Linked DNA regions of Kluyveromyces lactis. The main gene of each other region encodes a partner of the protein of the gene in region 3 in a complex. Links are inferred from orthologs where the notes say so. Each region holds a gene or a part of one and is shown on either strand. Other genes may lie near its edges. The genes, in order: TTI2, TEL2 and TTI1.

Region 1 (3,406 bases), on a different chromosome or scaffold from region 3:
CCTAGCCCCGACAATATATGCTTTCCAGCAATGTCTTTGCCGACAGCACTGATTAGTGTGGTTTGATGTTGAGAGCTTCGATTACTGTAGTTTGCACTTAACGCAACGTTGTGTCCAACTCCTCCAATAGAGGTTGACGCTTTCCCAGGATTAGAATCACCTTGGTATATATGTGAAGAATTGAAAGTGCACTGAGTATCAAGAGCGACAGAGCCAATTACCGCAGATAGAACCTTTGTCTCCTTTTCATTGCCTGAAGTTTCCTGGCTTGTCATAGTTCCCCGTTGATTTTTAGGCTCATATCTTGGAATAATGTTTTGCTTTAGTTTAGATAGAGAAGCCGCTATATTTGCTGCAATTTTACAGTTGTTCAGTACAAATGAAATATTACATTTAACAGACGCTCCTGAAGTCTTTGAAGCTATCTCCCTGAGTAAAAAAGGTGTTAACTCTTTACCACTAATACCTGCTGCTGCTGCATTTTGGCATGCTTGTTCTATTATATCGTTAATGAAGTTATCATCCAAAGCCACTTCTCTTGGAGGAGGGCAACAGAATAAGTAGCCCGAATTTAACCCAAATTCATTACCATCTCGTATAATTTGTGCAGCTTCCAGATAAGAGTTAAAATTATAAGGAGATTTCACTCCTGAATCTCTAGTATAGAAACCTGGAACATTCGTCCCCGGGGGCCCCATTGTAGCTACCATGCATCCTTTAGTCTCTAAATATTCCATAGTTCTAGGGATATCCAATATTGCCTTTGGGCCTGCACACACCACGGATACAGGAGTTCTTCCTAATTCTTCTAAATCAGCACTAACATCAAGAGTTAGTTCACCGCCTTTATGAACGCCACCTAGTCCCCCTGTAGCAAATACTTCAATACCTGCCTTGTGGGACAAGATCATCGTACTCGATATTGTAGTGCCTCCATAAAGTTTTTGAGCAATAGTATAAGATATATCACGTCGAGAAACTTTATTTACCAGACCCTTCCTAGCATACTCTGCTAATTGTTCGATTTCTCTCGTCTTTAATCCAACTTTAGGGATACCATTAATGAAAGCTGTTGTTGCAGGTATGGCTCCGTTGTTCCTGATTTCTTGCTCCACCTTCAAGGCCATCTCTATATTTTCCGGGTACGGTAATCCATGTGATATTATGGTGGATTCCAATGCCACTACGGGCATTTTGGCATTCAATGCCTCCCGTATTTCATCAGAGACAGACAAATGCAGCCTTCGATGACCTATCCTTTGTACATGAGACCTCACTGAAGTTCGTAGCATCTTGTCCAGCAGTCAATGCTATCAGTTACCAGAATCACAAAAACACTCTTCAGCGAAGAACAACACTATCAGATAGCCTCAACAGTTATCTTCTCTGTTCGACGACATTATATCTTCTTCCGATATCACATAGTTTTCAGATCCATTTATTTTATATGTCATATTTTTGAGAGCTCATCCCAAATTCAAGCATATTGATGATCGTTACCAAGCCTTGCCGAAAAACCTCAAAATATAGCATTTCTAAGGCCAATCTAGAAGCCAATCGATTATACAATGAATCAACATGTGTTGAATTTTTTATTAAACCTTGAGGAAGACAAATTGAGTGTTCCAAGCAAAGATTCAGTAGAACAATTGATTATTTTCTATGATAAGAATATAAACGTTGAGAATAAGGAAGAATGGTTTACCAAAGGATTGGTCAGCTTGTCATACTTTTTGTTAAATGAACACTGGACAAGGTACGAGCAAAGAGATAGAGTAACACATCTTATAGATAATTATTTGGACCGAGATCATGATTTGGTACATTCCTTCATTTCTGCATTGAAACCAATGTTAATAAAATCGACCGGGATCAATAATGATAATTTAACCCCTTCAGGCCGCCGTAAGATTGAAAGCTCCAGACCTGGCCTACAGCCAAGATTAGGCTTTGAACAAACGTTTGGTGAATCAAGATGGAAAGAATGGAGGACTAATGGTGGATTACGAAGTATTGGGTTATTTTATATTATTTTGAGACACTTAGGGAAGCAGGAAATTTCTGCAAACCTACCCTGGATAAGTCCAGGAATACTTAATATAATTGATGACACTACATTAGGGCCAGAAAATGTGAGAGTTTATGGAATTATGTTGCTCTGCACATTACTAGAATCAGTGTTGAACAAGCGAGATACATATAATTTTAATTTCAAGGATACCGGGCTACAAAAGGTATACGAGCCAATATTGACAAACCTTTTATACAACTTACCACCATCCTCAACTCCAGAAGAGACGCTTCGCACATGGAAAGTGACATATCCTGCGTTACAGCTAATATTGAGAGTAGAAGCTTCAGATAACGATCAAGATTTTAGAGATAGATTAGGGCACATGTTTTCTGAGAATATATTACAACTTACTATTCCAAGAATCGGATTAGACTACCCTGGGCTCTCTTTGTGGATTCTTGGCTATTGTCAAGATGTTGTTCTGATGTTGGGGAAAGAAACAACATTATATTTACAGCGTGTGATATACGTTCTTGGGGAATTCTATTTCAGGAATGCGTTCATGACATTACAAATGCCAATTTTACATAAGTGTCTTGATCTATTGATATTACTCTGTGATCAATGTATTCCAGAGAGTATAGTCAATCAAAGGTATGATATCCTAGCTTGCATTCTACTATGCTATGAAAAATGTTACAACGAGGGATCTTTAACAGCAGATGTCTTAGACAAATGTAAAGTATTATTAGCTAAACTCGAATCATTCGGATGTGATTTCAAAGAAGAATCAAAGAAACTGAAGGAGCGTAAATCTCTTACTAATTTATTTGCATAAATACCTATCTAATTCATCACATAAAGAAAAATACTAACCCTGTAACTTAGCAATCCGAAAATAAAACGAACCAGGGGCGGGGCTCACTGATATATGTACAAGAAGTGGAGTCACACAACGAGCTTTACAGGTTCAGGTTTAGCAGGCGCTACATTTTCTTTTCACATCGCGGAGTGAAATTATTGAATAGATTGCAAACCCTTAACAATTCTGATATTTGTGTCCAAAAATCTGTTAACACAGTTGTTTAGGCATTGTTCTTCTTGAGAAGACAAATCAGCATTTTGAACGTTGCTAATACAGTTTTTGAAACAAAGATTGGTGAACTGATGAATAGACATCTGTACTTTTTGCTTGGAATTCTCGGATTCTAAAAAGGTCATGATTTCTTTCTTGGAACCATCATCCAAGTTAGATAAATCGTTTTGTGAGATAGAAGACATTCTTTGTATATATGTGTGGCTCTTTCCAAACTGTAAAGCGGTGCTGGTAACTATAGGATTGGCGTATTGTTTAAAATTTATTGAAGGTTTCCATCGCTATTTCGCTGTTTT
Region 2 (3,920 bases), on a different chromosome or scaffold from region 3:
ATTACAGCTTCCTCATTCAGGTCTTTAATGGAATTATTGACAGAAATGATTAGACTATCACACAATCTCGAGGATGATTTGTTTAAGGCAGCTTGATACAAAAAAGGTCGTAGAAGTGCATCGATCTTACCTGCAGAAAAACTCTGGAGGCGCAATTGATTTCTTATTTCCGTGCAAACGTCCTTACCTATAACATCAGTCCTCAAAAATTCGGTCAAGTTCACTTGATCGTTCTCCATATGTTTCGTATACTCATCATAGTATTTCGGTAAATAGATGTGGCAGTTTACAGATATATCCTTTCGAAGTAATTTGGTAATTTGTCTTTGAAACGTCGAAGAATCCATATTCTTTATGTAATTACCAAATTCGAGTTTGAACTGATTCACATACTGAACGAATTTGAGTCCAAACAAAGGCTTGAATCCAGTTAGCAATGTAAAGAAGTTTAATATTAGCTTCACCAAAGCGTGGACTTTCACATTAGGGTCTTTCAGAAGGTATCGCGTATCATGAGCAAAGCATTCCAAAAGACTTTCCGCGTGTCTTTCTGTCGTTCCTGTTTTCAATATCAACTGCATTGTTATTACTTTTAATGTTGCTAAGTAATTCTCATTGCCCGCAGAAAAATCACTTAACAAAACGTCATCAATACCTTTGGCCTTAATTAAATTGGTTTCGTTGTATAGCATTAAGATCTGATTGCTAGCTTGTGTCAATTTGTTTCTCTCCATCAAAAAAATAATCCAATTCATATGCTTTTTCGGAAGTTCCTGAAGTTTCTTCAACTGATGACGCCAGATCAATTGGCGATATAACTGAATGAAACTATCATTTACTTGAATGTAGTTCTCAAAATCTTTGCTCTTATTATCCACAAAATCGTACAATTTCTTCCAGTCAATCAGGGAGTTGGTATTATTCTCCTGTGCTGTAGTTATCTTCGAACTATTTGACGTAGCCTGCCATTCCGTATCGTATTTTGTTGATCCAGCGTTTAACGGTCTTCTAACTCTGTTGTCAACTTTCATATCACTCAAGACACCTTTCATTTCGATATGACTGCTGTCTGTTTCAAACGTACTACAGTATGGGCTAAAGCCTGGCTACCCAATATCCACGAAGTTGGCGGGCTGATATGTGTATAGTCTCTAGTTCTTTCTGCAATCTGCCACTTTCAAGTACAGAATCTAATATGTAAACAAAAACAATTCTTTATTTGTGTTATTGTAAAGATTGACATTTAATATGAGATGAATAAAAGACTATGAGATGAAAACCTATAGATGAGACAAGCATTGCAAAGCTGCTAAAGTGCTGCTGACGTGATAGATTGTATATTATAGCGCACAATGTCCGGGATTGATAGTACTTTGTTGAATGAGAAATGTGATAAAGATACCATTTATCAGGTACTAGAACGAATGTCATCAAAGAAACAGCATTCTAGTAACGAAATACTCCCGATAATCAAGAATGTGGTACCAATATATCCATCGCTACCGAGAGAATTAAAGATGGCACTACGCAGGCTATGCGGTAATAATTACATATTCATATCATTGGTTATTGAGTATGCAAAAGAATTGGGTAAGAATCGTGAGACGTCAATATTCTACGGCTTTTTAACGGATGTTCTTAAGTATGAGAGTGATTGTCTATTCAATTACTTAGAGCATTCGTCAAGAAGAGATCTCCCTTTTATCAAATCGATTCTGTTTGGAAGCAGATGTTATAACGCTTTAAGCAGCAGTATTTCCATCGTTGAATATTTAAAGTTTATGAAGATGCAATGGGAATTTGTCTTTAAAGAGACGAAGCAATATGATAAGACGCATCTCGAAATGTTCGTTTCATGTCTACAGCTCAATATTCCTTATGGTGTTGATATATTCATTGAAGGGCTTGCTACTACTAGTGAATTTTCATGGAATGCTTTGATTATGATGTTATCAAAGGGGACCTCAGTTCAACAGAGGAGATTTTTCATGTATCATTTGGTCCCGTTCCTTGAAAAAGTAACTAATCCTGATAACAGCTCTACCATTTTCACACTACTATCCCAGTTACCATTCGATATCCCAACTAGCATAGATTGCTTCAAATGGGGAAATCCGTATTTTAAAATTGTTTACTTGCATGGTATGTCAGAAGCGAAACGTGCACAGCTCTTCAGAGAATTACTACCATGTTTTGAACTGATGGATTTATACACAGATGATTCACTCGCTGAAATCTTGGTAATGATATTAGATGCCATGTCTAAGGATTCCAGAGATGAACTATCGCATGATGCAATTTCCTTGAATTTTGTCACCAAGAGACTTCATTCTGAGGATCATCTGGTTAGGGAGCGTACTATGTTTGTTGCCAAGAAACTTACAAATGATCAGCTTCAATATGAAAGCGATTTTACAATCGATTTGCCTCGAATTGAACTAATCAAGCTATCCAAACTTGAATTTCCCATTAAGGAAGGACTACAAAATCTGCCAAAAGGGAACTCTACAAAGAATGAACTTGTACAGCAATTTAATACCATAACTTTGCAGGACAGTGACGATGAATCTGATGAAGAAGATTCTAGAGACATCTTGTTCCTCAAAGATCTTTTGCTGGAATTCGAGAAAGTTATCAAGAATGATGGGTCCGAACTTAGATTGCTAAAGGAAACTGTGAAGTTAGTACGACAGAAGAAGAACTTCCCAACAGAAGTATCTTTTTATTCTAAAGAACTCCTCAAAAAGATAGCCACCATATCGAACAAGTTTGACGAAAAATCATTTGAAGAATGGAAGGCTAATGCATTAGTTAGCATATTGGTTGTATGTCCAGACAAGATTGTCGATCTTTATGCAATTCTCTTCAATAACGAGTTATCGTTGCAACAAAGGATGGTAATCTTGACATCTGCAGCATTGAGTGCAAGGGAACTACGGGGTTTTGATGATGAATTTGTGGTGAAACCTAAATACGATTTTCCTACTAATCGATTACCATGGGATGAATCGGCCACTGAACAGCAACCTGAAAATAATAAGATACAAGATATTACTGAAATAACAGGAAGCAAGGTTACTTGGAGATCAAAACGTTTAGAGACTGATAGTAAGATTACACAACAGCAGAATAATTTTAGGAAGTACGCTACACTCTTCTTCTATCCCTTGGCACATGCTTGGTTGAACGGAATTAACCTTGGTGCATTCGATAAAGTGTTCAAGAGACACTACATATCTATGCTCAAGATCATTTTAACTTGTGCAAGTCCTCATTATGAGCTAGAAGAGATGCAAATTTTGATGCAAGAAATCCTTTCGGATGCTGTGAAACAACAAGTTCAAACCTCTTAAGACTCATTGAATGACAAAATCTGGGGAATTCAATGGAGCCTATGGTTAGAGGAAAAAAAAATTTTCATCAAATTACTACCTGCACACGCAATGTATATCTCGACATATTTGACTTCATAACCTATTTACACTGTTAAACCGTCTCGAGCGTGCAACCAAAGGTTTCATTGCTTTCCCATAAGCAGTTAACGAGTTTAGGTGCCCCAGCGCATTGGTCACGTGATTTCCCGAAGCTTCTCTTTTAAGGTAAAGAAAACGCTCAAAAGTTCGGAATAAGACGCTGATCATTACAAACAACCATTCACTTCTGCTCACCGCCAATCTACCGACACGTTAGATCTGGGTAACAAGTAGCTACTTGCGTCAGCCAATGAAACATGGGATATGATATTATATCGCTGTTATTCAATGGCATTAAATCAATTCTGGCATTGATGACGATACTTTTCGTTACGCAACAGATTATATTCAATCTTGCGTTACTATACTTCAATGCTAGGATTGTCATTTCTAAGCTCCAGATTGGATTTTTATTTGGACGAAGCATTTATTGGTTGCATCTTATTT
Region 3 (4,187 bases):
GATTGTTCGTAATGGCATATTGCATGTTGAGAATTATAACGACCACATCCAAGATGTCCACAAATTAGACAGATCCAAAGATTGTTCGTTTCACCGCATTCTAGACAACGCGGCAGTGGTTCATTATTAACATCTTTTAACTGTGAGTATCTGCAGACAGGGCAATTACCGTTTTTCCATTGATCTAGGCACTTACAATGGAACGTATGTTGACAAGGGGTTGTGACTAATCCAGTAACTTCGCTGTCTAATTTTTCTAGGCAAACAGGACACATAGGTAGTTCTATTAAACCATCAGATTGTTCTGAACTACTCTGAGTAAACGGATATTTTAACATGTAGGGGAGAGCATCTTTATCTTCACTAAACATTCCTTGATGAAATATAAGCTCCTTAATTGCTACCACATGACATGTTTCTGGATCAATTTCATTGAACTTCTTCCCATCGAAGAGCTTCTGAAACTCTTTCGCCAAGCTTTGTTCCTTAAATTTCATCAAAAGCATAAACCGTCCTTTTTCCTTGTTCATTTTTATTAATTGTAAATGCGTCACTTGATTGGTTGTTTCTTCTCCAATAAACCATCCCAATAGTCTGTTTATGGTCAAGTAGTTTGGAATAAATAGTATGGCTAGCATCCTTCCATCACCTAATTCCCGGTAGAGTTCTTTATCATCAAAGGTACCAACTGATGCGTGGCCATTCTTGAAAAGCCGTATAATACCATGGCCACACCATTCGGATTCGATGGAAACTTTGTTACTACAAGAATGTAAACTTAGCATTGGAATATGGTTCCAACTCTGTTCAATACGAGAATCAGTCTTCCGCTCAAAAGTCAATTTGCCAGACTTAAAAAACTTATAACAATCGTCTAGACTTTCTGTTACCTCGATAAGTAATGTATATTCCATATGGATTATTCTTAGACCCGACAGGTAACTAGTAGGCAAAATGTAAAGTTTTCTGGTTGTACGAAGGTTCGCCTCTTGGCGTCATATTAGCTGTTGCCAGTAGTCATCTCATCCCTAGGAATATCAACAATCGGGATGAGAACCTGCCAAAGGAAGAATGGAAAAAAAAACGATCACGTGATTTTAATGATATACTTAAGCCTTCTCAATGAAATGCATCTTTTACGCGATGATCTGCCTTATTCTCGAAATATATGTTAAACATAACGAGTTACCGTCACAGCTTTTTGACATAGCATAAAAATATATCATCAGAAGCCGCTTGAGATACTACTATGTTTACACAAGGTCAGCATGTTCGGTCAGAACATGCAGGAACTAAAGATGAAGCCTTTGGAAAGATAAAACCAATCTGTGTGAGACTCTCCCAAGTTACCTTCAGGAAAGATGAGCTACTCATATTACAGGATCCGCAGTTAAAACAGTTACTACAAGATTTGATTCAAAACTTAGATATCCTTATAACTAAGCACAAATCGCTTTCAGGGAGGTTTGGAGACTATGTGTTTGTGCCTATCTCTGCAATGTTGAAAACGTGTAAATCACTTCCGGACCCAATTGCAACATTAGTATTCGAAATTTTGGCGAGAATAATAGACGTTTCGTGGAGTTTACCGGCGACAGTGGATCGGAACACATTCTCGCAGCTTCTTTCCCTATCAACCTTTCTAATATCTACCGATCTAGAAAATGTCAACCTTCCCAATAAACCAGACGAATTCAAGATTGCTTCCATCAGACTTTTAAGAGTTTTGTATTCCACAGCAGCTTTCAAGGAATGGGATGCAAATATGCTCCCAGCAATTGCACACTCAATCACCATTTTGTTAACATTATTAGAAAATAGCAATATGTCAATCCAGTTAGAGAGCTCAAAAACACTAAGATTACTGTACAGAGTAATAAATGACGGAGAAATGTTAAGTAATGTGGTTCCCGGAAATGTCTCTACATTTGCTAAGATTCTCTCTCGTCCAGGGTTGACTACTCATGTGAAAGTGGCAAGTGATGTATTATCGACTATGTCAGAACTATTGTGTATGGTATATGGTGACTCTTCTTTGGAAACTTTCATCAAAACGTCTACAGGAAATACTGCTGTTGAAGTAAAAAATCCAGGAAAGCACAGAACTACCAAATGGTTAAATGCCACATCAATTCAATTGAAACGCGCACTTGAACCCACCTTTTCAAAGCTCACTAAAAGGAATAATGAAAAACTGAATGGTGAACTATTTGAAGCTTGTGTTCTACTACTTAATAAATGCCATAATTCACTTTATGGGTGCAGAGAAGTTATACTAAAGACGGCTCTTACAGTAGCAAGGGATAACGTCTTTGCATTAGAAAGATTCAAGAACGATATTGCAGCATTCATGAGAGATAACAATATTCAGGTCGAAACAAACTTCGAAGAAATCAACCAATATAATATTGTGAATAATGCATTAAGAATTTTGGATACAGATCAGCTTGAGGAATATCAAATATCAAAAACTGTTGCTTATGGAATATATGACTCTTTGAAAACCCATTTGTTGAGTTTAGACAAAACAGAGAACATTAATTTAATTAAGGTTACCAGTTCAGAGGTAAACTACTTGGTAACATCGGGATCTCTTAATAATTCTGAAGTTTCCATAATTCCGAAAATATCATCTACAGCGTACGAAAATGTTACAAATATTTTACTGCAACTAGGATCCAAGATGAGCGCCTCTTCAATACAAGAACAAATCATTGAGTTTCTTTCAATAGAATCAGATGTCTTAAAAAACTCAAACGAAGCTCTTTGGATAGCTTCAACTTTATTAACAGGGTATAAAAACACTGACATAAGTGATTTTCTTGCGCATGATTCAGACCCAATCTCCTGCCAATATGACATTATAGAAATGGCAAATGAGCGGGTATCAATTTTATCGAATCAAACGGAACTAAACGAGTTGCAGCGCACCAATTTGACTATGAATTTGTTTGCTATGAAACAAATGATTATTCTAATGGGTAAAGATTTCAAAGATGAAATGTTAGATTACATCTATAATGTCATTGAATGTTTCGCAAGCGATGATGAGAACACAAGATTCATTTCGGGAAATATTCTTCAATATTTGGCCAATGAATTCTACCAGGGTGCAATGCTAAATTTGTTTCAAGATAATGTTAATTACATAATTGACGGAATCTCAGTTAGACTTGACAATTGTCTATTCCATCGTGCATATATGGTTCTTCGTGTAGTGATAAAGGTTTCTGGATACGATCTTGTGGAACGTTTGAATGATATCCTAGAGAAGCTATTTTGGATGTTAGGATATTATCATGGATACGATGACCTCTGCACTGTACTATTGAACTTATTCATAGAGATTTCATACAAGATACAATACACTTTCTTGAGCAAATCGAGCGGACAATCTATCGAGATCAAAACCTGGAACCAGGATTCCTTCAAGCCATGGGGTATGTCTAATATCGAACAAGTATTAAATGTATTGGATCAGGAGAAAACTGCTGCAGATGATTATGGTAGCATTGCTGAGGTAGAACCACCTGAACAGACGGCCGAGGAGTTTTTCAAGGAAAGGTTTGAAAAGGATAGCGATGACGAAGATGAAGACGAAGAAGATGCTGTATCGGAGAACAATTCCTCGGTGAATAATGGGGAGGCGAAAGATGAGATGAAATGGGAGTCCCCAATATCAAGGGATGCCTATATGTTACTTTTAAGGTTTTGGACGTACGCAGACAGGCTCTTAACACATTCATCGCGTTCCGTGAGAAATAAATGCTTAGATCTACTTCTCTTACTATGTCCCATGCTCTCTACACAGCAGGCGGTCTTTTTACCAAACGTTGCCAAAGTCTGGGATATCGTTGTACGGTCAGCCATCTCCGAGGATCTCGCACAAGTTGGTAGAAGTTACGAACTTTTAAACTCTTTGGTTTTACACACTGATTCCTTCCTCATGAAAAGGGTACTAGATATGTGGAAACTCTTTTCTGCAAGGGACACCATGGTATCCAAAATGCTTTCTCCAATTTCCAAATCTACTAGAGTCCACACAACGAACACTTTGCAACTACAAGCATACCTTCGTTGCAGCAAATTGCTTATAACGTGTATGAACCAATTCGGGCTACAATTACCGGACCATATAACCATAGAGATGTGCAAGTGTTTACAATCATTACCCAAAGACAACAACA

What was found.
Region 1: TTI1 (region 3) and TTI2 share a complex: the UniProt entries of both Saccharomyces cerevisiae proteins name them as parts of the TTT complex. The link is inferred for Kluyveromyces lactis from reciprocal best matches to the Saccharomyces cerevisiae genes TTI1 and TTI2.
Region 2: TTI1 (region 3) and TEL2 share a complex: the UniProt entries of both Saccharomyces cerevisiae proteins name them as parts of the TTT complex. The link is inferred for Kluyveromyces lactis from reciprocal best matches to the Saccharomyces cerevisiae genes TTI1 and TEL2.

What each region holds. Positions count from the first base shown.
Region 1 is NC_006038.1:366,612-370,017, forward strand, and holds TTI2 (Tti2p), read left to right. Parts: upstream 1-1,568; coding exon 1,569-2,852; downstream 2,853-3,406. Other genes in the region: KLLA0_B04004g (pseudouridine-5'-phosphate glycosidase/carbohydrate kinase family protein), read right to left, coding at 1-1,292; protein transporter TIM8, read right to left, coding at 3,032-3,295. UniProt on the Saccharomyces cerevisiae protein: Component of the ASTRA complex probably in chromatin remodeling.
Region 2 is NC_006040.1:1,280,543-1,284,462, forward strand, and holds TEL2 (Tel2p), read left to right. Parts: upstream 1-1,352; coding exon 1,353-3,353; downstream 3,354-3,920. Other genes in the region: ESP1 (separase), read right to left, coding at 1-1,052; HOB2 (Hob2p), read left to right, coding at 3,731-3,920. UniProt on the Saccharomyces cerevisiae protein: Part of the TTT complex that is required to stabilize protein levels of the phosphatidylinositol 3-kinase-related protein kinase (PIKK) family proteins. Required for telomere length regulation and telomere position effect.
Region 3 is NC_006042.1:2,389,866-2,394,052, forward strand, and holds the start of TTI1 (Tti1p), read left to right. Parts: upstream 1-1,249; coding exon 1,250-4,187. Other genes in the region: ETP1 (Etp1p), read right to left, coding at 1-914. UniProt on the Saccharomyces cerevisiae protein: Component of the ASTRA complex involved in chromatin remodeling.